3 linked regions of the Drosophila melanogaster genome follow. The protein of the gene in region 1 interacts with the protein of each later gene in a pairwise test. Each region holds a gene or a part of one and is shown on either strand. Other genes may lie near its edges.

Region 1 (7,344 bases):
GCAAACAATTTAATTTAATTTTCACACCTGAACGCACAGTAAAATCCCATACAAAGTGGTTGTAGTTTGGCGTTTGTTTAGCAACGAAAAAGGACCTCTGGCGCCGTTCAGCAGCAGCAAGGATGAAGTCCTAGACTACAAACATATATTCACATGTGCTCACGGCAAATTTAATTTTAAAAAGCAAATCCGGAAATACATACGTATGTGTATATATGTATGTGTGTACGCTGAACCTCAATCAGCGAGAAATGCCCGCAAACGCGCTGCACTTTTCCGACCCACTCAGCTTTTCACCCACTTCATCCATCCAACCAGCCCCTTGGCCCACTCACATCTCTTCACCTGTCTACTCGGGCTCCATGTCTAATTGTGTATGCTTTGTGGCCAAAACTATGAGGATGCTGTTGATGTTTTTGTACCACCTCTTGTTGCAGCACATTGGTTGCCTCCCTTTGTTGCCCCTTTTGTTGCTGACTGCACCTATGTACAATATATATGTGTGTATGTTACACCAACTCACTGGTCAGTTAATGCAGCTCCTGGGCGGCCCGGGCCAACAAAGTTGTGTGTTTTATTAGTTTCTTTTGGGGGCAGTTGCCACATTTTGCGCTCACCTCTGATTGTTGTGCTGTAAATTGCATTCGGTGGTCAACAAAATGCATTTGCCAGCCAGGTCGGGCCTGAGCTTCATTTGTTCTTCATTTTTTATTCGCATTTTCAACTCGGCTGCTTCATTTAAAGTGCCATTAGGTGTGGCTCATACCTTAATTTGGTCGAAATGCTGCCACAGCATTACGGTTGCTATTAGCCAATGTTGTTGCAATGCAGCAAACACACATAAGCGGCCACACTTACATATGTATGAGCAGATAGTCGCACATTTCCGGTTGTGTGTCCGTTGGGTTTTCTTTATTTCGTTGCTACATTTTTCTCGGATTTTTTTCCACAATTTGCTTCTTGTGTGTTTGTGTTTTTTTTTTTTAGCTTTGCTCCAAATATTCAACACTTTCGCTCAGGCACCAGCGTAGGACCACACACACCACCCGCCTTCGTTTTTGTCCACTCAGGTTGCTCACTTTGGCTTTACTTTTTTTGCCAGCTTCTTTTTTGTTTTTTTTTTTTGTCGGGCCAGCAGCTCGGTAGGTTTGTTTTTAATTAAAACAACAATGCAGTGCCAGAGCCACACTTCTGTCCGGCATCTAACCCGCTTTGCACCACCCAGGCCATTCAACCACCACCCAACCACCCACAAGCCATCCTGCATGCGAGCACACATATTATTTCCCACTCACCCGGTTCGTGAGTGACTTGTTGCTGTTTTCGCTGGCGTTGTTGTTGCTGTTGCTGTTGCAAGTGTACTGCATGTTGCTGTTGTGCTTTACTTTTGCGCTTACAATTTCATTTGGCCCGCTTTTCCTGGCACCAACTGGCCGGCCACCCCTTTTGGCCAGAGTGCCCTTTGTTTTGGCCTTTGCTTGTGTGTTTTGTGTGAAAAGTGATAAGTGAAATATGCTTTTTCAGCTGCATTTTCAATTTAGTCGTTCAATGCAATTCCAATTGGATATTGCCAATGGCCAAGTTACAAGCCAACCACCCCATCGCTCCACTCGTCTCAACAAGGGGCAAGGTAAATCGAAATAAAAATAAAGAGTAAAAAAAAAAATGCTGGCATAGTGTTTCGCCATCTGAAATGTTCAAAATTGATCCGAGAGTTCACACAGAAGTCGTTTAATTGAGACTGAATTAAAATGAATTCCAACTGTATTGTGCGCTGAAGTGTCATCGTGAAATGACATCAGTATAAGCAGGGATTGGGTCAATCATTACTACACGGAAAAACAAATTGTCTTTAATCTCGGAAGTAGCGAAAAGATTAAATTTCATATTTAATAAATTTGTATTGGACTATGACTTTAGTGTTGTATTACTATAATCATGCATCTTAAAAGCCAAACTGCTTTAAGTTTAGTGCATGTCTTCTGCCCATTTAACATACATGACTGGAGTTGGCCCTCTTCTCGTCCAATTTTCCTTACCTTTGCTGGAAGTTCGCTGAACCTGTTGACTAATTTCGAATGCATCTCGCGACAAGACTGTACGTGGGCCAACACCTGACAGCCACGTGACACTATCTTGCCACCCGCCCCTTTCTGGCAGAATAATGGGTTTGTGGGCGTGGCACACGAGCACAGAACAAGCATTGTCCTGACAAAGGACCTCAATGGGTTGAGAGAACTGCAAGTGGTGTAAAAAGTGCATTAGTGGGAATGATTATCTTAGCAAATGGTCATTTACTCCAACCATGGCGTCGAGTTCATTGGGCTAAACGGAGCAGGCCATTCAGTAGATTGAATGGGCAAAGGAAGTCCACCCAGTAAGCCGTGTCATTTGTTCCGTTCGACATGTATTTCAGGCAATTTAAAAACTCAGTCAAATACAACATAAGTCTCGAAAAAGAAGTTAGGAAAATTAGTTTAAATTATAGTTGAAAGTGGGAGAATTTAGCCAAGTAAAACGTATAAAGAGAAAAATAAAAATGACTTTCAAGAAAATACTATTTGTGTGCATGGGTAAGAAATGAGATTTTCTTTTCAATTTCTTTGCCATTTTGCATGAAAAACTTACGTCATTTCGAAGGCAACTCGTGCAGCTCTCCGATGGCCGAGGTGATTATGCAGAATCTGATGGTCAAGACGAGTCTCTACTGGGAGGTGGATAGTGCCGGTCTGAGGACATGGAACACTGGACGGCGACCGAACAAGCGATGCCTGCAAATTCTGCGAGAGCACGGACTGCGATCCGATCACTTTTGTCGTCAGGTGAACTTATCCTAGCGCCAACTTATGAACTCCACATATGTATAGATTCTTACTTCTATAGTTCACCGTGAATGATTTTCTGTACTTTGATTATGTTGTGGCAATGGATGAGGCCGTGTTCAAAGAACTGCTCCTCTGGGCTGCGGACAACAGGGCTGGCAAACACTGTCAGGTACTTCTTCTGAGTTCGTTTGGCAAGAATGGACTGCCGGCCTTTATAGACAGCCTATCCCCAGTGAGTTAATTTGAGCATTAAGCAACCCACTTGTATATGTCGAACAATTGCAATCCATCCAGACCCACAAGCTAAAGAACTTTCGATCCGCCTATTACCAAATCAAAGAGTGCTGCAAGCAGCTCATCCTTAGCCAAAAAGTGGACATTGTCAAGTACGAGCTACCCAGCACTGATGATGATGAGCTCTACTACTCTGGCAAGGATAATGCGCCGCAGGACTCGGCCAAGGCGAATCACTTGACGGAAACAAGCCATAACAACAGTGGCATATATCTGCTAAACACGGAGATAAGATCCTCCGGTGGACTGATGTCCTCGTCGACCGACCCATCCAACTCGAAGACCTCGATGCCATCCTGCAGCCAAGGAGTGCAGCGAAAACTGTGCCAGAAATGTGGACAGAAATTTCTGGCTGCCCTTTAGTGTCAAGAACTAATATTCAAAGGCGGCAAATTAACCTTGCGCTTAGATTATGTAGCGTATGAAATTAAATAAAATTGACTTTTATCTGGCAGCTGTCCGCCGTCTATAAGTCTTCTGCGCCTCTTTTGATGAGCGGCTAATTGGGTTAGCAAACATCTATAAAGGGCTGGGAATTCGGCCTCTTGGCACAGATCCACTTCGATGAGCCATCGTCTAGTCAAAGGGGTTGCGGGTAGCTGAGCATGGAGCGCAGTCATTTGCCGGAGACGCCATTCGACCTGGCCCATTCTGGGCCCAGGTTTCAGGCCCAGTCGAGTGGCAATGGTTCCGTGCTGGACAATGTGAGTGATTGGGGGAAATGATTTATGTTAGTTCTAGTTTTAATTGTAATCCTTTGTGGTGGCACTTCAACTTATTGCCTTCTTGCAATCCCGCAGGTGCTGCCCGACATGGCGCACCTGGTGAACCCCTACTGGAGCCGCTTTGCGCCCATGGATCCCATGATGAGCAAAATTCTGGGATTGTTCACCCTGGCCATTATGATCATCTCGTGCTGCGGCAACGGAGTGGTGGTCTACATTTTCGGTGGAACAAAGTCGCTGCGCACGCCGGCAAATTTGCTCGTTCTCAACCTGGCCTTCTCCGACTTCTGTATGATGGCCTCCCAGTCGCCGGTGATGATTATTAACTTCTACTACGAGACTTGGGTGCTGGGTCCGCTGTGGTGCGACATCTACGCGGGATGTGGCTCGCTCTTTGGCTGTGTGTCCATCTGGTCCATGTGCATGATTGCCTTCGATCGGTACAATGTGATAGTGAAGGGTATCAATGGCACACCCATGACCATCAAGACGTCTATAATGAAGATACTTTTCATCTGGATGATGGCTGTCTTTTGGACTGTCATGCCATTGATTGGATGGAGCGCCTATGTGCCCGAGGGCAATCTGACTGCCTGCAGCATTGACTATATGACGCGTATGTGGAACCCGCGATCTTATTTAATCACCTACTCCCTCTTCGTTTACTACACTCCACTGTTTCTCATCTGCTACTCCTACTGGTTCATCATTGCCGCCGTGGCAGCACATGAAAAAGCGATGCGGGAACAGGCCAAGAAGATGAATGTGAAATCCCTGCGGAGCTCTGAGGATTGCGACAAAAGTGCCGAGGGAAAACTGGCCAAGGTGGCTCTAACTACCATCTCCCTATGGTTTATGGCATGGACACCATACCTTGTCATTTGCTACTTCGGACTCTTCAAAATCGACGGATTGACCCCACTGACGACCATTTGGGGAGCGACTTTCGCCAAAACGAGCGCAGTCTACAATCCGATTGTGTACGGCATTAGGTGAGTGAATAAATAGGTTTAAAAAAAAAACAATTTCCGTTTGATATCTATATCTAATTTATATGTTTCTTAACTTCCTTAGCCATCCCAAGTACCGCATAGTTCTCAAGGAAAAGGTATACCTTTTTAGCCATTCTAATGTTATTCACTAATCCTTTCTCGCCCTTTAGTGCCCTATGTGTGTGTTTGGCAATACGGATGAGCCGAAACCGGATGCACCCGCTTCCGATACGGAAACTACATCTGAGGCGGATTCAAAGGCTTAAATCGTGAAAAAAAACCAACGCAATTGCCTGCAAAGGGCACAGAAAAGTTTAAAAAAAGTGATGCAATATCGTAAAGTGATACAAAAATGTAAAAAAAAAATGGAATAAACCTCAGTATAACAAAAAGTAGTTTCCTAAAACTTTACAAAATAAAGTTAGTTTGCAAATTGTTTTGAAACTTACTTATTTCTAATAGTATTAAATATTGTAAAGTTGTAAATCTTGTTACCAATGGCTAGTTTGTGTTTAAACTATTAATTATACAAATTTCTCGTACACATATATGTAGCTATATATATATAGCTATAATTTTAAACCCATTAAGTTCTAAAAAGCTGCACCATTCAATGCTGACTTCCATATACCCAAAGTATTCAGCGACATCTCCTACGAACGCAATTAAATCACAGCAAATGATTGAACTTGTGAATGGAAATATGCATGCATTTTGCCACTCACTCATTGCATTCTCATTAGTCCCCCAAACCCAAAACTCTCGTAATTTTGAACTTCCACGAAGGCGGACCCTCCAGCGTTGCAAAATCAACAATGCCAGTCGCAGAGTTCAACTCCCTGGCGTCTCGGGCAGATTCATCTTCATTGACACACATTTCCACGCAGCTAATGTCGCTATTTGCTTTGTGAGGGTTTTGTCTCGCGTCTAATGATTATAATTACGAAACAGCCACCACCCACGGCCTCCAGCCTCCTACACAACCCACACCACTCATTTGCCTAATGAGCACTAGAATGCCATCCCCTCCCACCGAAATCACACCCACCCAGATTGAGATGAAAAGCTGCACTGACGGGTCTCGAGTTGACTGTCTAATTAAAGTACATCAGAAAGCACTGGGTGCAAAGAAAACAGACTCGTTGCCTGCCAGCGATCCTGGGAAGACTCCAGGGTATTATCAGTGCCAGATTTTAAGTCTGCTTGCTCCGCTCGCCTGTCGCTTAGTGGTAATTTGGAGGAGTGACCTCAGCCTTTCCATGTGCAGACGGGTGACGTGCTCGATGCAGTCCTTAAACGTTTGCTCCAGCTCACCACTGTAGAATACCTCGATGCATTTGGTCGTTTCAGTGTATGCACTATCCAATACTTCACGGGCAGCAACCTTCTTCTGATTCTCCAGCTTGACGTAGAAATCGTGGATCTGCGCATCCACGTTTTTGGCTGCCCTAGATGCGGTGTGGATTCTATGCTGGTCGTCGTAGTTCATCTTGGAGGCCACAGCTTTGGCCATTTGCTCCCATCGCGGATGCGCTGCTATCCATATCGTACACAAAAGTGTTATCAAAATAATACCGAAAATGGTTGACAGCCAACTCATTGTACACTAAGTGGTTCGAACTAAAAAATTTTGTGATTCTGTTTAGAATAAATGGCTGTCATAGGCAGTACACACCTTGACATCTCTATACAAAAGTAAAATTCCTTAAACACAAGCACGAAATACAACATAGTAAAACAAATCCATCCAACCCTAATAACTTTTTATTATTCCGAACATATTCCAAATCTGTATAACATATTAGACTTCTATGAGATTCCTAAATATTCCTCTATGTGGTTAAACTTTGTAAGATGATTACGTTAATTAGCAGAAGAAGCCAATTCGGGCGGCACCAGAGGTGGCTCCATAAATGGGCCAGTGTTCCGCGGCCAAGCGATCCAAGGCAGTATAAAAGCCAGCGAAGACGGCTTTAACACAAGTCTTGTGAAGATCGACACCTTGGGTGGATTTCAGCTCAGCCTCGCAATGGGATAAAGCCAATTTCAGAGTGTCCAATTGGTCATTGGCATCGTTCCGGGCCTCAACACTGTTGGGTAGCTTTCCTTGGGCCACAACTTGAGCGATTTTGAACTGTTCATTGGCCCAATCAATTGACTGTTGCACGGCCACATTTTGGCCAACCGATTGTCCGGTCTATTGAGCGCATATATATGAAAAAATAGATTATTTTTAAAGATTTTTTTTTGTGTTTAGTATTATTTTCAATTACCAAAACAACCAAGACGCAGAAAGCTATCAGCACTGCACTCGACATTTTCTGGAAACTTTCAATGACCGACTGAAGCACAATTTGAAAAACTCGAAAGACATTCAAACTTATCTTCTGTTTGCGCTTTGATAGAGTTTACAGCCTCCATTATCTCACCATCTATCTGAGTGCAATACGAAACGATAGCCTCAACCCCATTATGTTTTATGTTGGTCCATAAGCGTATATTTGCTGG
Region 2 (8,551 bases), on another chromosome or scaffold:
GTGCCCACCATTGGTCGACGCAAAACGTCGGCGATTGCGATTGGTGGATTTGGAGGGAGGATATCCAGATGTTGTTCACTCGACGGCGCACATTCACTAAACAAGTGAAAAAGTTTTTCAGTTACTTGCCAGACATCAAAGACGAGTTTTACGTGCGACGCACTATCTGCGAAAATGTCGATCTTAAGCCGCGAATTTGATTTGAATTTAATTACGTTAAATTAGAAAATGTTTAAGAATTCCGTTGCCTTGACGTGCGAATACTCAACCATGTATTATAACTCAATTTATAATACTTCCAACATGTTCGACATGAAACGTAAATGTTTAAATCATTCTTCTTACTTCGCTGTTATTTAAATAAAATTGGGACAGTGATTTGTGGTACCAATTCCAGTACAAAAGCGACTTTTATTTTATATTTTCGTGTGTATGGAAAATAATGTATATATTTTCCAAATATTTCAGACTCCGAAAGTCAAGTTCAGCAACAAATATATAACACAAGTCACCTAGGTTATGTGCCAACTTCGAATACTCGGATTGTTAAGAAACGTAATACAGCTAACAAAAAGGAGAGAAGGCGAACCCAAAGTATAAACAATGCGTTTTCCTATCTGCGAGAAAAGATTCCCAACGTTCCTACAGATACTAAATTATCAAAGGTAACTTCACCGACGGATAGATAATCTTGAATTTAATACTTAAATACACCAATAAGCACATGAAGGTTGGATTTTAATGTTTCCTACTTAAGTCAATCTTAACTATATTCTACTTTTACTTTGTTTAAGAATTAAGATAAAATAGCCAGCGAAAAATATATTTTATAATAACTTATTCAATTATTTATAAATTTGAAGTTTGTTTGTGTCCGTTTGCTTGGTTTACTTGACAGATTAAAACATTGAAGTTGGCCATATTGTACATAAACTATTTAGTTAATGTTCTTGATGGAGATCTGGATCCAAAAGGCGGATTTCGAGCCGAACTTAAGCCGGTCAGTCGAAAGATCTGTAGCGAAAAGAAGCACTGTTTGAAATCAGAGATTCAAGTAAGAGAGTAATTTACTTTGTCATGCTTTCAATAACAAACCAATCACTACATATATTTAAATTGATCGCTTTGAATTTTGGATTTAAGTTTATCCGGCGGAATAACAATTCATACATATTTTTGCCGCTTTTCATGCATTCAAACAAAAAAATTATTAAAAATCTTTTTTGTTTTTACTGTAGGTAAATGAGTTAAGATACCATAACCTAATTGATATTTCATTCAAAAAACATATTGGCTTGCTGATTTTTGTTGTACAAAGATATAGATAAAGACAATGTTCCCGCTATAAGGGGCGTATTGTTTGTTTTTTTGCATTGATATATAGTTATAGTTCTACTATTCTATTTGGCTTTTTCATTTCGTTGAGATCTCTGCTCGGAATTTGTATTTTTATGGTACACAAGATATTTTCTCCCCCTTTTTCTGCACTGGGGCGTAGATATCTCAATTGTTTGTTTATTATAAGAAACAAAAGCACTTGACTTTATAAAAGAGCATTTTACGTTTTTCCCTCAAAGAAATAGGCGTAATTCCATTCCCCTTGTAATCCGCAGATAAAAACTCGATTGATTGTAGATATATTCCTAATGGAAGTGCGGTGCCATGTTTAGCTTCAAAAATCGGGTTTCGAAATATATGTACACAGGTCCAGTGACCAGTTGTAAGTTGTACTTTATTGTGCAATTTCGGAAGTGATAAACCGCAGACGCCTGCATCCGTAATTGAGAATCCATGCTAACCAACCGCCTCCTTCATAAAATGGGGGTGAAATAATGGCTGGGAACACTTATTTAATAGGGCAATCTGGTTTTAGATATGAACACAAGAGACAAGTGTCTAAGTGGTGCTTCAGAAACATTTTAATCCATTAGGGGTTTGATTAATTAAGTGCCTTTTTGGAAATATTGAAGTTTTGAAGTATTCTTTTTTATTAAAATTTTTTGAACCTATAAGCTTTGCTTAAGTATTTCATAAAGATAGTTTTTATAACATTGACATTGACAAAAGAAGTAAAGAAAACAAAACATTAGTTGTTAAATTTAAAAAAGGATAAGAACTATTTTCCAGTGGATGTTGTCTTTATCTGGGACTCACAAACAATTAGAAGTGAACTACATTTCTAAATAAAAAAGTAAAGTGTTTCCATAGTGCTTCCGTGCACGTGTTAAATTTTTGTTTACTTCTTAATTGTCTATTTGTGGGTACAAGTTGTATACAAAAAAAGAAAACTATGACCTGTATAAACAAATTGAGTTACTCAAATGCAATGCTTTGAAATCCACAATTCGAGTTTTCAATAGTCATGTACTCAAATTCGACATAGTTTTGAAAAGTGTGCAGACATTTGGATTAAATTCATTAGATATTTAACATAAATGGGTCTGAAAAGTATGCAATTCTTAACCGTAGTTGGGATATAGCTAAAAACATAAAAGAAATACGTATATCCTAATAACAAAAAATGAAGAACATTTTCGTCTTCGACAATTCGGTTAACGGTTTTGCAAGCAATGTAACAGATTCAATTAAAAGATTTTCGTAAAATCATGCATGTGCATAATAAATGATCTATTTGTTCCAATTAATAATGACAATTTATATTTCAGAATGTTCCATTGTCGACCAAGGGCCGCACGGGTTGGCCACAAGATGTTTGGGCATCGGAACTTATTCCAGAACATAATTAAACCCATATTTTGCAAAAATAATATTTCATTCTATATATGTATATATATTGATAACCTATATTTAAAACAACAAGAAAAATAATAAACAAATAAACAAGCAGTATAAAGACGTTCCTTTTATTGTTTAATTAAGCAGAATACTTAATTTGGCTAACCTGAAATTGTTGTCAGCAAATAAAAAGTATAAGTATATTTTACGTAAAAAAAGACTTGGTAGAAAATTTATCTAAAAAATTTTTTTTAACTTGCTCTAAGATTCATAAAAATAATAATCATTTGAATGTGGGATTTGGAAGTCAATACCCAGATATTATATTATGGGAAACAAAAGCTTAAACGATTGAGGGCCACGAATGCCCCTATTTCTTGGCCACCAATGTTATCGGTTATCGATGGATTGTTAAATGTATCGTCCACATGTAATCTCTATAATCAATTTTCGAGCTGTGCTGCTAGATATTTGTGTGAATAAAAATAGTGTTGTGTATTGAGTAATTGTTAAAAAGCTTTAATAAGCAGCTTTAAAAAAGAGTGCAAGCATTAGCAAAATATTCAATATAATGCAAAAAAGGTAGATCATCTCTATTCAACAACAATTTTCTCAAGATTTGTGTATTTTTCTTTTGCATATGGATGTATGTGTGTGAGCAGAGACACGACACTTAATGTTAATAAATAATGGACAATTACATTACGTGTGCACATGTTTTCGTGTGGTCCACATATGTATTGTGACTAGTGTACATACCTGGTCAAAGACAATGGATATTACAACTACGTTTTTATGTAACTCCATTGTTGGGCTATCAGAAAAGAAAGGTCTTTAAATTATACATACACAACTGGTAATTCGTTGAAGGAGAGAAAATCGTAAAGTGTCATCATTCTTTACACGATTCTTTAAATTCTCTTTTCACATAAAAATGAAATTACCTTTTGTGTAATGCTAAAACGTAAAACGGGATACCCATCGTTATTATCATGTGCAAGAAAAAGTATCAAGTGTAATTGAAAAAGTGATTACATACATGCATATGTGTATGTGTATATCGGTACATATCGATGTACATATGCTTATGTTGTTGATTTTCAAAACAGTTTTTAGCACTTACCGTTATCTTGTATGAAAACAATTCGCATATGTACGTACAAGCGTACATATGTGCATACATATATTATAACATCACTTGACGAACTTCGAGTCATCGCGGTGAAATTTTATTGAGTTAAGATGGCACTACGCAATTTCCCTCCAACTATCTCTTTGTCCGCCATGTGTGCATTTGGCAATTCGGGTTCCCCAAAAAGGAAAGATTTCTTATCCAATTGGCTAATCCAATATTGCCAATAAGTCTCTATAAGAATGATGAAATACGTACACACTTATAAGAAACGATTCCCATAAGGAACGACTTGCTGACTCAATTTTTGTTTTTTTTATTTAAAATTGTAATATTATCTTTGTTTACCAATCAAAAAACGCCTAGCAACCCAAAGTTGTCCTATCAACTAGATAAAATTATTTCAGTCCAGAACCCTTTTTATACTTTTCTCGTATGTTAATAAATAATTTATATGAAAGCCGTGAGTCATTAGAATATTATTGTTAATGTCTATATAATTCCTTTCTTTTTCAGTTTTGGTGTAGAAGCATAAATCAAATTTCGATTTGCGGTAAGTTAAATATACATACATATTAAATACTTTTTGTTAAGTAAAGCATTAAACAAATTAAAAAACAATAAGTTATGTTCAAGAACTATGACGTTTTCTAATTCATTGGAAAAGTAAATGTTATCAATTCTGCTGTCTACGTTAAATAATTACGTGCTGTGCTCAGTAATTAGCTGAGTAAAAACAAAATAAAACGCAAGCAACTAAAGTTTATATATAAATAAATATAAGTCCCAAAGATCTACGTTCTTTTTTACAAACTAGATGTTTGATTTTTTATGACTTCGATTAACAAAAGTTAACAAAAATTAGATCTTCAGGTTGTGAATTTAAGATTTAAATCGCACGTAAAGATTTAGTTCAGATCATCCAAAATTTGAAAGAACTGTCCGGAATATTGTATATTATTTCTTATATATATTCTTCTGCCCTGTCTGTTTTACAAGTCCATATATTAAGTATCTATTCCTCTTTAGTTGAACTACACGTAAGGCACCCATTAAAAGGCTCCACGTCTTCTTTTGATGATTTGTGACTCAGCTGTCAATACATTACATGTATAATAAAGTCAGCTTTAAAGTCAATATTCAAAATTTTGTTGTTGTTTTCCTTACAGATGGGCGATGTCGACCCCGAGACGCTGCTGGAATGGTTGTCCATGGGACAAGGAGATGAGCGGGATATGCAACTAATCGCACTGGAGCAGCTGTGTATGCTGCTCCTAATGTCCGATAATGTAGATCGTTGCTTCGAAAGGTATTATTGTCAGCGATAGAAGATTTACCATTTGATCACTATCTAATCTGTCCGTCCCCAACATCAGCTGCCCTCCTCGAACATTTTTACCGGCGTTGTGTAAGATATTCCTGGACGAACTTGCACCTGAAAATGTACTCGAGGTCACTGCGCGAGCCATCACCTATTACCTGGATGTTTCGGCTGAGTGCACCAGGCGTATCGTTTCCATTGATGGCGCCATCAAAGCCATATGCAATCATCTAGTGGTCGCCGATCTATCATCGCGCACATCTCGCGATCTTGCCGAGCAATGTATCAAAGTGCTCGAGCTGATTTGCACCCGAGAAGCTGGCGCCGTCTTCGAGGGCGGCGGCCTCAACTGCGTACTGTCCTTCATACGGGACTGTGGCTCGCAGGTTCACAAGGACACCTTACACTCGGCCATGTCGGTGGTATCCAGGCTCTGCACCAAGGTGGAACCTAATACTCCATGCATACAAAACTGCGTCGAGAGTCTGAGCACTCTGCTGCAACACGAGGACCCCATGGTATCCGATGGAGCTCTAAAGTGCTTTGCCTCTGTAGCAGATCGATTTACACGAAAGTGGGTGGACCCAGCACCGTTGGCAGAGTACGGCCTGACAACCGAGTTGTTGAAGCGCCTCCAAAGTGTCGGAGGAAACACGCACTCTTCGCTGACAGCGGCTGGAACCCAGCCAACCAGCTCTAGCCAACCCGCTGCAACCACAAACTCGGATGCCATTAATGAAAACGTTGCTGGAACTGCAACCATATCCAACAGCACCAAGGTTAAGTCATCTGATGCCGCCGCCTCGCCGCAATCGATATCAACAACGATTTCCTTGTTGTCCACACTTTGTCGCGGATCACCCTCGATTACCCATGACATTTTGCGATCCCAATTGGCTGATGCCCTCGAAAGAGCTCTGCAGGGCGATGAGCGATGCGTGTTGGATTGCATGCGATTTGCGGATCTATTGCTGTTACTATTGTTCGAGGGTCGCCAAGCATTAAACCGAGGAAGTAACAACCCCAATCAGGGACAGTTGGCGCCTCGACCAAGGCGTAATAATACCAACACCGATCGCACGCATCGCCAGCTCATTGATTGCATACGATCAAAGGATTCGGAAGCCCTTCGTGAGGCCATCGAATCGGGTGGCATTGACGTCAATTGTATGGACGATGTGGGCCAAACACTTCTCAATTGGGCTTCGGCCTTCGGTACCTTGGAAATGGTAGAATATTTGTGTGAGAAGGGAGCCGATGTCAACAAGGGTCAACGAAGTTCGTCCCTACACTATGCAGCTTGTTTTGGTCGCCCGGCTATTGCGAAAATCCTTTTGAAATTCGGAGCCTATCCGGATTTGCGAGATGAAGATGGGAAAACGCCATTGGATAAGGCGCGAGAAAGATTAGACGATGGACATCGAGAGGTAGCGGCAATTTTGCAGTCGCCTGGGGAGTGGATGTCGCCAGATCATTCGCTTCTCAACAAAGATGGCAAAAAGTACACACTAATGGAGCCCCGAGGTGATCCGGAAATGGCGCCCATTTACCTAAAGGTCCTTCTGCCCATATTCTGTAGAACGTTCCTGGGTTCGATGCTGGGCAGCGTCCGGCGGGCCAGTTTGGCCCTGATCAAAAAGATAGTTCAGTACGCGTACCCAACGGTGCTCCAAAGTCTCAGTGAAACCAGTTTTAGCGAAGATGCAGCGTCGACATCGGGTCAAAATGGTGGGAACCTACTAATTGAGGTGATCGCCAGTGTCCTAGATAACGAGGTATAAACAATAAGCAGTCATCATCACTCAAATCTAATTACTATCTTTAACGATATTGTTGCAGGATGACGGTGACGGTCATTTAATAGTTTTAAATATTATTGAGGAAATTATGTGTAAGACACAGGAGGAATTCCTCGATCATTTTGCAAGGCTAGGAGTGTTTGCAAAGGTCCAAGCCCTGATGGACACCGATGCGGAGGAATTGTATGTACAATTACCAGGGACCGTAGAGGAACCAGCCGCAGCGCAAAGATCGTCGACCAGTGTAGTCGTTGCTCCTAGGCCAACATCAGGTATATTCAATATATTTGATTTGAAACCAATTCTTATCGATCGGACCATCCCATGTAGATGATCCTATGGAGGACGCGAAGGAGATATTGCAAGGGAAACCCTATCACTGGCGCGAGTGGAGCATTTGCAGAGGCCGGGATTGTTTGTACGTCTGGTCAGATTCTGTGGCCCTTGAGCTGTCCAATGGCTCAAACGGATGGTTCCGCTTCATCATAGATGGCAAACTGGCAACGATGTACTCCAGTGGCAGTCCGGAGAACGGAAATGATAGTTCTGGTAAGTGTTAAAATCTGCTAGATAAAAAATTTATTAAATTTTCTGTTTGTTTTTAGAAAATCGGGGCGAGTTTCTTGAGAAACTGATGCGTGCTCGGTCCTGCGTGATTGCAGGAGTTGTATCACAGCCCATTTTGCCCACTGCGAGTGCTCTGCGCCTAGTTGTTGGCAACTGGGTTCTACAGTCGCAGAAAACAAACCAGCTACAAATTCACAACACCGAAGGTCATCAAGTTACCGTGTTGCAGGACGATTTGCCCGGTTTTATTTTTGAAAGCAATCGAGGAACGAAGCATACCTTCTCGGCAGAAACTGTCCTGGGTCCCGATTTTGCATCCGGTTGGTCAACAGCCAAAAAGAAGCGCAACAAGTCAAAGACAGAGGGTCAAAAGTTCCAGGTTCGAAACCTATCGCGGGAAATTTATAACAAGTACTTCAAGTCTGCGCAAATAATTCCTCGGGGCGCCGTAGCCATACTTACGGATATCGTAAAGCAAATTGAGCTATCCTTTGAGGAGCAGCACATGGCACCAAATGGAAACTGGGAGACCACACTTACGGACGCCCTAATGAAGCTATCTCAACTGATACACGAAGACGGCGTTGTAAGCGCCTATGAAATGCATTCGTCGGGATTGGTACAAGCTTTGGTAGCCGTGCTGTCGGTCAATCATTGGGAAACTAATTCACCTCGCTGCAAGCGAAACAAAATGCAAAAGCAACGAGTCTCTGTATTCAAGAAATGTATACTGGAGGACAACGTTGAGTCTGCAACGAACAAACCAAGAACTAAAAGTACTGCAAGTATTTTAATTCAAAAACTTGTCTCGGTTTTGGAAAGCACCGAGAAGCTGCCAGTCTATTTGTACGATTCTCCATGCACTGGATACAGTTTGCAAATTCTGCAGAAAAGACTTCGTTTCCGTTTGGAGCGTGCAGAGTGCGAAAGCACTTTATTCGATCGATCGGGACGAACTCTTAAAATGGAACCATTGGCAACGATTGGACAACTTTC
Region 3 (8,040 bases), 9.0 Mb from region 1:
CGCTGAAGGACTTCGCCAACTCCAAGTTCGTATTCACGGACATCACCTTCGGCCGACGGCAGTCGGAACGCAAGGTAATCGTCCGGGATATGGACGGAACCTTGGCCTACGCCACTCTTGATACCACGAAGCGCATGAACCAGTTGTATTTCCCGCTGGAGGGTCGCCAGTCATATACTCCACGAATGTTCGCGCTGGAGGAGCTGCTGGCCAAGTGCTTGGCGGAGCACAAGTACGAGTTCATCCTGGATCGACTCTTGGTGCAGTACGAGCCACATGAGCCGGAGTTCCACAACATTTCAGCGCGTGTGTTCGAGCATCTCAACGAGTCCAAGGAGTTCGATCTTCTGCGCTCCACCCGCCACTTTGGACCCATGGCCTTCTTCTACGCTTGGCACCGCTGCATCGACGACCTGCTGTATGACATGATCCGTCGGGATTATCTGCACAATGCCGTGGAGCTGATTGCTCTGAGCTACAAGCTACACAACATCCCAGTGGAGTATCAGGCAACGCTGACCGAACTGGGCAAACTGCATGCCACGCCGGCGGAAAGTGCCCTGGCGGAGCTAAGAAGCGTCTTCCGACGACATGACAATAAGCAGAACATTGAGCAGGAGATCCATACGGCCATTGGCAAGACGGAGCACGATTTCGCCGCCGATGAGATCAGCCTGAAGTTCATTGAGCAGTACATCGCCAGCGAACATGCGCTGAAGAAGGTGCAACTGGAGCTGGCGGTGCAGACGCTTAAGGAAGTTAACCGGGAGAAACTGATGCTGTTCCAGGGACTGAAAAAGGCTCACGGCGTCCAGGCTTCGTAGGATCTATTCGCTTTATTGTTATCGATTTCTATGTACTAATAAATACCAGCTAGGTCAAGATTTCTATACGCTGTTCATAGCTCCTTCTTGAGGACCCTGGACAGCCGTCTAAAATGGCCAAGGATGCACTGTCTCCGGTGCCGCAGGCATACCCGCTCGCTGCTGAAACGCTTCAAGCAAACTGAGCAACGTCTGGGATCACCTCTTCCATTGGGCAACCCGTTGTGTTCGCGAAATAGGACGACCACTTTCGCCTTGGCACAACTCTGTTCTTTTTTTCGGTGTACCAAAAGAGAGGTGGTGGTCTTGAAGTAACGTTTGCACTGAAGACATCTGTAGCACTTCCTGCCGCTATGGTTTCTCAGGTGCCTGAGCAACTGCATCTCTGAGTGGCTCATGGCGTTGCAGAGTAGATGTGGGCATTTAAAGAGCATCGATGACTTCCTGGGCGCTAGAGCGGGACAGCTCAGACTGTGTTGCTTCAATTGTTTCTGGTGGTCCAGACGCTGACCACAGCGAAAGCACAGAGCACCAGGTCCATAGTGCGCGGTCATGTGGCTCTGGTGCTCCAGCAAGGTTTTGGCCACATCGCCGCACACCGCGCACTCCATCATGCCGTTGGGAAATATGAATGTGTTCTCGCTCACGTAGGTGAGAAATTTGTCGGAATTGGAGGCCTCAGAACCGGTATCCTTTGGCCGTTCCTCTGGTAAATACCACTCCTCCGAATCGCGACGGCATTGAATGCCCGCATCCTTAGTGCCCGCATTCTCTGTTTGAATGGCGCGCTCTCTGCGCGGCACCATAGCCTCGTTCGCAAACATTCCAGTGACCTCGTTGAGTCTCTTCTGCTGTACGGATTTCTTGGGAGACTCTGTAGCGCCTCCATTGGTGATCGGGGCATGCAGTTCTTTCACTGGAATGCCATTCTCTATCGCGTACTTGCGTGTCACCCACTTGGTCTCCACGCACACGTATTCCGGCAGCTCGAAGACGGGCAAAGGGATAGACTTCATCTGAACAGGGCTGTGGCGTGGTGGTTTTCCGGCGGATATCGGTTGACCGGCCAACGCCACCTTTGCCGGTTGCGCCGGGTACATTTCGTTGGTTCGGGGTTCTCAAATGGCACTAAATCGATACGTATCCGAAAAATGAATTCACATTTTACTTGGAACTTATTTTATTTTTGTTATTAATTACGCTTGCTTTTTATAAAAAGACGCGAATTTTACTGGCGCAAAAAATTCAATGTTGCTATTGGTGCTGGCGGGCTAGCTTTTTTCCCGCCATATCCGACTTCTTTTGACTATTATGACAGTTGGAATATTAAAAAATTAAAATAAAATATAAATCTAACAGTTCTTTTTTCATGGCAATCAATACGAAGTGCTGAATAACTGCATGTTCTCTGATTATACTGTGTTTATAAACTAAAATTTCTACCAAATTTGTTTAGCAACAAGTTCTCTTAACAGTGCCATTTTAAATAATTAGGGGTATTCTTATGAGAAGTATGACATTTTCTAATGAATTCAAAATTGTATTAAGCAAACATAAATTTGTTATATATTTTATATTTCATTCAATGCCTATTATAATAGTTTAATTAAACTGATTGTAAATCTGGTGGAAAAATCAAATAAAAATTGTAGTTATTTTTCGTTTGTTTTGATGTATTAAATCAATCATTATTATATTGTACAATTATTCGGGCAGAAACTGCCCTAAGCACTACTTTTTACTCTTATCCTTGTCCTTGATGGTGTACTTGTCGTAGGACTTGGTGGGATCGTAGGGCTCCCATCGGCTGGCTGGGAAGATGTGCTTGTTGCGCTCGTACCAGGAGCGGAGGAGTACCTTTCCGGCATGGGACTCCTCCTTCTCCACGGAGGCGTCGCTTATCATGCGCACATCGTCGTGGACGTCGAACTGGAAGAGCGGGCCGGATTTGCCGCGTGCCTTGGTCACGATAAAGTCGTAGAAGGAATAGTGGTGCGGCAGGATCAGATCCTCCTTGACGTACATCAGCTGGTCGGCCATTACGGTCTTCAGTTCGATGAACTCCTTGCGCAGCAGCTCCAGGCACTTCTGCAGAAACTGGTAGATGGAGTTGCCCTTCTTCATCAGCACGTTCCGCCGATGGCCGGAGCCATCCCAGTAGCTGAACGTGATGGAGATGTCCTCGTCCTTCAGCTCCGCCTGCTGCATTACCCATTCTTGACGCAGCTGCTCGCGCAGTCTGTTCTCCTGCTCCTCGCGCTCGCGATCTGGCAGAAAGGAAGTGTCCACGTCAGGATTCTTGCATATCTTCTTCTTCTTTATGGGCAAAATGTCTTCCTTGATCTCCGTCCACTTGGGCTTGGGCTGATCCTCCTGCTTAATCTTCAGCTGTTTCTTATCGTGATCCTCGTCGTCCTCCTCCTCCTCCTCCTCGTCGTCGTCCAGGTTGAAGGACAGCGCCTGGATCTGCCGCTTCTGCTTGTTCTTCTCCGCCTGAATGGCCTCCAGGGCGCGCTGCTTCTCCCGATCCTTTTCGTCCTTCTTCTGGGCGAGCTTCTTCTCCCGTTCCCGCACTATATCCTCCTGCTTGGCCTTCATCTCGTCGAGGGTGACCAGACCAATGGTCGAGGACTTGAGCTGCTGCTCCACGGCATCGTAGTGGGTGGCAAACTTGTTCTCAATCTTGTCCAGCTTGAGCTCCTCCTCGATCTTCTTCTTGCGAAACTCGATCTCCTGCTGCTGGATCTCCCGCTTCTTCATCAGCTGGGCTGCACGGCCCGCCTCGCTGGCGGCACCTTTGTAGTGGGCCATCCTTAGTTGTTTCTGTATTTATTTATATTTTTTTTTATTTAATTCGTAAACGAAATTTGTAAACATCCAATTGGTGTGACCGTAGCAGAAACATTGAAAAATGCCATTCTTCGTATAAAAAATTTACAGCACAAAACACTACCTTACCAATTTGAAATAATAAAATATTTAATCTTGAAATTATTTAAAATTTACTAGCTGTCCATTCCCCTGATATAAGAGCAAAAAGAAGAGGATCACTATTTCTCTGCAACGATTTTGAAAAATAAAGATAAATCTTAGATTTTTAGCTGTTTTTTTTAATATCCTTTATATTTAGTTACAGTCGTAAGTTTTTCTTTAACTTGCTTCATGCTTTCGCTCAGTGTACTAAATCTACGTTGATCCATTGGAAGATTCCTCCTGTGCCTCGGATTTGTCCTCCTCCTTGCTGTCACCATCGGCATCTGTTCCATCATCGCCAGGTTGGCTTGGATCTGGATTGCTGGAGCTACTGCCGTTGCTCTCGGCCAAATCGTTCTGGTCGAAACCATTCGTGTATTCCGGCGTTGGAGCCGTGTCATTGGCGCTGGGCGGCGGGGTAATCTTCCGCAGCTGCTGACGGGCGGCATGGACGATCTTTTCCAGCTCGACGCACTCCGTCTCGATCTCGTAGTTCTTGGAGACCAGCAGCACCCAATGGGCTTCCAGGGAGCGCAGTCGCTCGCCGGCCTGCGTTTGCGCCTGCTTGCGCTGCCAGTTGACATCTTGAATGTCCTTCTTCAGCTGCTGCAGCTGGAGCTGCGCCTTCGCCTGCATGGCGGTGAAGACCTCCAGGTAGGACTTCCATGCCTCCGTGCCGTAGTCGAGCATTAGCTCCAGGTTGAGAGAGCGCACCCACTGGTGCTCCAGCTGGGCCATCGAGTTCTCAATGGCCTCCTGCCAGGCGGACACCTCCGACAATTTGCCCGATGGCGGCGGTGGCAGTTCGTAGCGCTTCATGGAGAGCGTCTCCATGGGCAGGCGGTTCTGGATGCGCTCGAACTCGTTGGCCATCAGCGGAGTCTCAAAGGGCGAGCTGGCGGGCAGTGGCAGATGGTCAAGGTAATTTTTTGTGGGCCTATAGCGCCGGCATTCCTCCTCCACCATGGCGAGAGCCTTTGGAAGAAGAAGATGCCATTTCAAAGTCAGTTTCAACGTGCAACATGGATATCCGTATATTTACCGATTCCCGGACGCCCACATCGTCATAGCCGTGATCTATGTAGGGCAGAGCATCCACAATAACTTCGCCAGCCATTATTTATTATTAATTTCTGTGTTTTGAGACTGTTTTTTCCGCAAGTAAACAAATACAATTGCCGCTTCGCACTAGTGTGGCACATTTAGCTACTTTATAGCTATATAAACGGATAACAGAATGCTGTTAATTAATAGCCATATATCTATTTAGTAAATTTTTTTGTTTTAACATGAACATTTAAGCAAAAAATAAGCGTTGTTTTCTCACCAATAAAAGTTGTGTAAGTTAGTTTTTAACGTATGTATGTATTATGTATTGTTTGATTATTTATTATGCGGTTAAATTACAACAATTGTATTCTTGTTCTTTAAAAACGCATTGCTAATTTATAAATTTAACTAAAATACGTTATTGATAAATTCGAATTTAGATTTGTAATATTATAGTTTAATTGCGAGAATATAAACAAAAACTTCTCTTACGAGAGAAAAAAAAAGCTAAAAGTGTTGGACAGCGTCCAATTAGCCCTGTAAGCTTGACACTTGCTGCTGTTAGCAAATGCAACCATGCGCCGTGGAACGCGATTGGCAGCCATTTCCGGCAGCTCTCTTTCTTTCTTCGTTCTTCTTAATAAAAAGAGGACGGTATCTGCGTTTGCAGAATATTTAGCACCTTTCATTGGGTTTGAAAATCAACGAAAATGGTGAGAAACGAAGCACAAGGCACTCCGCAACCGCAGCAGACCCCAAAACATTGGATTTAACACACGAAACGATGCGAAAATAGTGCAAAAGTGTCGCCCTAACCTCCACGTGTTTGGAATGTGCGGCGATGGCGAAATGCGCTTGTTGTGTTTTGTGATGTGAAATGATCAGTGAACTAAACCCGAATACCATGTGCACTTTCAGAGCTTAGGCAACGCCAGGCCATTGGTCTCCGTGTACACGGAAAAGAACGAGCCAGCCAAGGACAAGAACATATGCCTGCCGGCAGTGTTCAAGGCGCCCATTCGTCCGGATGTGGTCAACGAGGTTCACCAGCTGCTCCGCCGCAACAACCGACAGGCCTACGCCGTCAGCGAGCTGGCTGGTGAGTAAACTGTTTATAACTCCTCTTTTGTGTGAATCTAACCCGTTTGAATTCCTGTTTGCAGGTCACCAGACCTCCGCCGAGTCCTGGGGTACCGGACGTGCTGTGGCCCGTATTCCCCGTGTGCGTGGTGGCGGTACCCACCGTTCCGGCCAGGGAGCCTTCGGCAACATGTGCCGTGGTGGACGCATGTTCGCCCCCACCAAGACGTTCCGTCGCTGGCACCGCAAGGTGAATGTCAACCAGCGTCGCTACGCCCTGGTGTCGGCCATCGCCGCCTCAGGAGTGCCAGCTCTGGTCCAGTCCAAGGGACATGTCATCGACGGCGTCTCCGAGTTCCCGCTGGTCGTGTCCGATGAGGTGCAAAAGGTCCAGAAGACCAAGCAGGCTGTCATCTTCCTGCGTCGCCTGAAGATCTGGGCTGACATCCAGAAGGTGGGTAACTTTGTACACCTATGAAGAACTTAATCCGAAGAATGTTAGGTCACTTAACTGTGCGTCTATTCAACTTCAACGTATTTATTTAACAAAACGTGAAGTTGTGATGTTTTAATTGCAAAGTTATAACTTTTTATTGGATTCCTACTTTTCGGATGCTTTCTAAATCTTACTTGGCAGCGTGCAAGCAACTGGCTACTCTTCTGGTTGTCCGATGCTTGCAGGGATCTCCTGCGTTGCCAGATAAAATGCTCTTCTTGGCGTTACGATTGAAACTTGATTCACGGCTTCCATCGTGGTAACGGAAGAGCAACAGCTGTTGTATTCATGTTCTCTATTTCCGAATTCCTGGAATATACATACTCACTATCAACTTGTTTCTCATTCATTTCGCAGGTGTACAAGTCGCAGCGCTTCCGTGCTGGCCGTGGTACCATGCGCGACCGTCGCCGCATCGCTCGCCGTGGTCCCCTGGTGGTCTACGACAAGGACGAGGGTCTGCGCAAGGCCTTCCGCAACATCCCCGGCATTGAGACCATCAACGTGGACAAGCTCAATCTGCTGAAGCTGGCCCCCGGCGGTCATGTCGGTCGCTTTGTCATCTGGACCGAGTCGGCTTTCGCCCGCCTGAACGATCTGTTCGGCACCTGGAAGAAGCCGTCCACCTTGAAGAAGGGCTACAACCTGCCCCAGCCCAAGATGGCCAACACCGATCTGTCGCGTCTGCTCAAGTCTGAGGAGATCCGCAAGGTGTTGCGCGATCCCCGCAAGCGTGTGTTCCGCAGCGTGCGCCGCCTGAACCCCCTGACCAACGTGCGCCAGCTGATCAAGCTTAACCCCTATGCCGAGGTCCTCAAGCGTCGTGCCGCCCTCGCCGCCGAGAAGCGCACCGTGGCCAAGGTGCTGGCCAAGGCCAAGAAGCAGAACGTCGAGCTGGCCAAGTCGCACTTCGCCAATGTGGCCACCAAGGCTGCGGCCAATCGCGCCAAGCTGCTGGCCGCCCGCAAGAAGAAGGTCGCCGCCAAGAAGCCAGCGGCCAAGAAGTAAACTTACTTTCCCCCGAGTAGAGCTGACACACTTTTATATTATAATAAACCACAAAAGTTGTATGAATTTTATTCATAATACATAGAGTGCGCGACAGTAATGCTCATTAAACTCTTAGTCTTAGGCACATCATTTAGTTGGCTCTCTTTTTGGTCGTCTTGCCTGCCGCGCTGAGCGATCCCATCCCTTATCATTCTCCCGCTCGCGCTGATAACAGCGGCATGGCATCTGCATCTGTATCTGTGGCGGCGGCTGTAGCTTTCGTTATCGTCCGTCGTGCTGCCGCCGATGGCGATGCCGATCTTGGTCTTCGTACACGTTCGCACATCCATGGGCCGCACATATACTTATTGTCACACGTTAATTGGCATTTAATTAAGCGTCGAGCGTCGTCGCCGCTCTTATTCGACTGCGAACGGTCGACTGGCGCGGTTCTGCGTATCGCGAATATACCGAATCCCTTTTGTGCGGCAAATAAAAGGCTGGGAAACAAAGGATATATATTTTTGATTCAATTAACCGATGTAATTTCGCGACGGTACCATAGCATAGTAGGTAGCAGTCGGTAAACCGGTTCCAAGCCCACTTTATTATATAGCAGCTTGCCAA

Evidence for each region.
Region 2: the proteins of Rh2 (region 1) and Ufd4 interact in a two-hybrid assay, tested with the Drosophila melanogaster proteins (one large-scale study listed by BioGRID).
Region 3: the proteins of Rh2 (region 1) and RpL4 interact in a two-hybrid assay, tested with the Drosophila melanogaster proteins (one large-scale study listed by BioGRID).

What each region holds. Positions count from the first base shown.
Region 1 is NT_033777.3:18,895,754-18,903,097, forward strand, and holds Rh2 (rhodopsin 2), read left to right. Parts: upstream 1-3,669; 5' UTR 3,670-3,724; coding exon 3,725-3,823; intron 3,824-3,919; coding exon 3,920-4,836; intron 4,837-4,918; coding exon 4,919-4,952; intron 4,953-5,006; coding exon 5,007-5,102; 3' UTR 5,103-5,266; downstream 5,267-7,344. Other genes in the region: CG14297 (uncharacterized protein), read left to right, coding at 2,540-2,573, 2,641-2,822, 2,884-3,057, 3,120-3,482; CG14294 (uncharacterized protein), read right to left, coding at 6,017-6,436; CG34284 (uncharacterized protein), read right to left, coding at 6,704-7,033, 7,110-7,154. UniProt on the Drosophila melanogaster protein: Visual pigments are the light-absorbing molecules that mediate vision. They consist of an apoprotein, opsin, covalently linked to cis-retinal.
Region 2 is NT_033779.5:10,286,977-10,295,527, reverse strand, and holds the start of Ufd4 (ubiquitin fusion-degradation 4-like), read left to right. Parts: upstream 1-3,162; 5' UTR 3,163-3,318; intron 3,319-4,384; 5' UTR 4,385-4,421; intron 4,422-5,037; coding exon 5,038-5,177; intron 5,178-5,244; coding exon 5,245-6,964; intron 6,965-7,028; coding exon 7,029-7,260; intron 7,261-7,318; coding exon 7,319-7,537; intron 7,538-7,593; coding exon 7,594-8,551. Other genes in the region: hand, read left to right, coding at 229-319, 469-665, 899-1,054, 2,667-2,747. UniProt on the Drosophila melanogaster protein: E3 ubiquitin-protein ligase which accepts ubiquitin from an E2 ubiquitin-conjugating enzyme in the form of a thioester and then directly transfers the ubiquitin to targeted substrates.
Region 3 is NT_033777.3:27,917,360-27,925,399, forward strand, and holds RpL4 (ribosomal protein L4), read left to right. Parts: upstream 1-5,461; 5' UTR 5,462-5,557; coding exon 5,558-5,560; intron 5,561-5,765; coding exon 5,766-5,946; intron 5,947-6,010; coding exon 6,011-6,381; intron 6,382-6,555; exon of another isoform or gene 6,556-6,702; intron 6,703-6,780; coding exon 6,781-7,431; 3' UTR 7,432-7,529; downstream 7,530-8,040. Other genes in the region: mRpS22 (mitochondrial ribosomal protein S22), read left to right, coding at 1-824; Boh1 (buddy of Hmr 1), read right to left, coding at 899-1,924; CG12259 (uncharacterized protein), read right to left, coding at 2,556-3,635; BCAS2, read right to left, coding at 4,011-4,772, 4,840-4,914.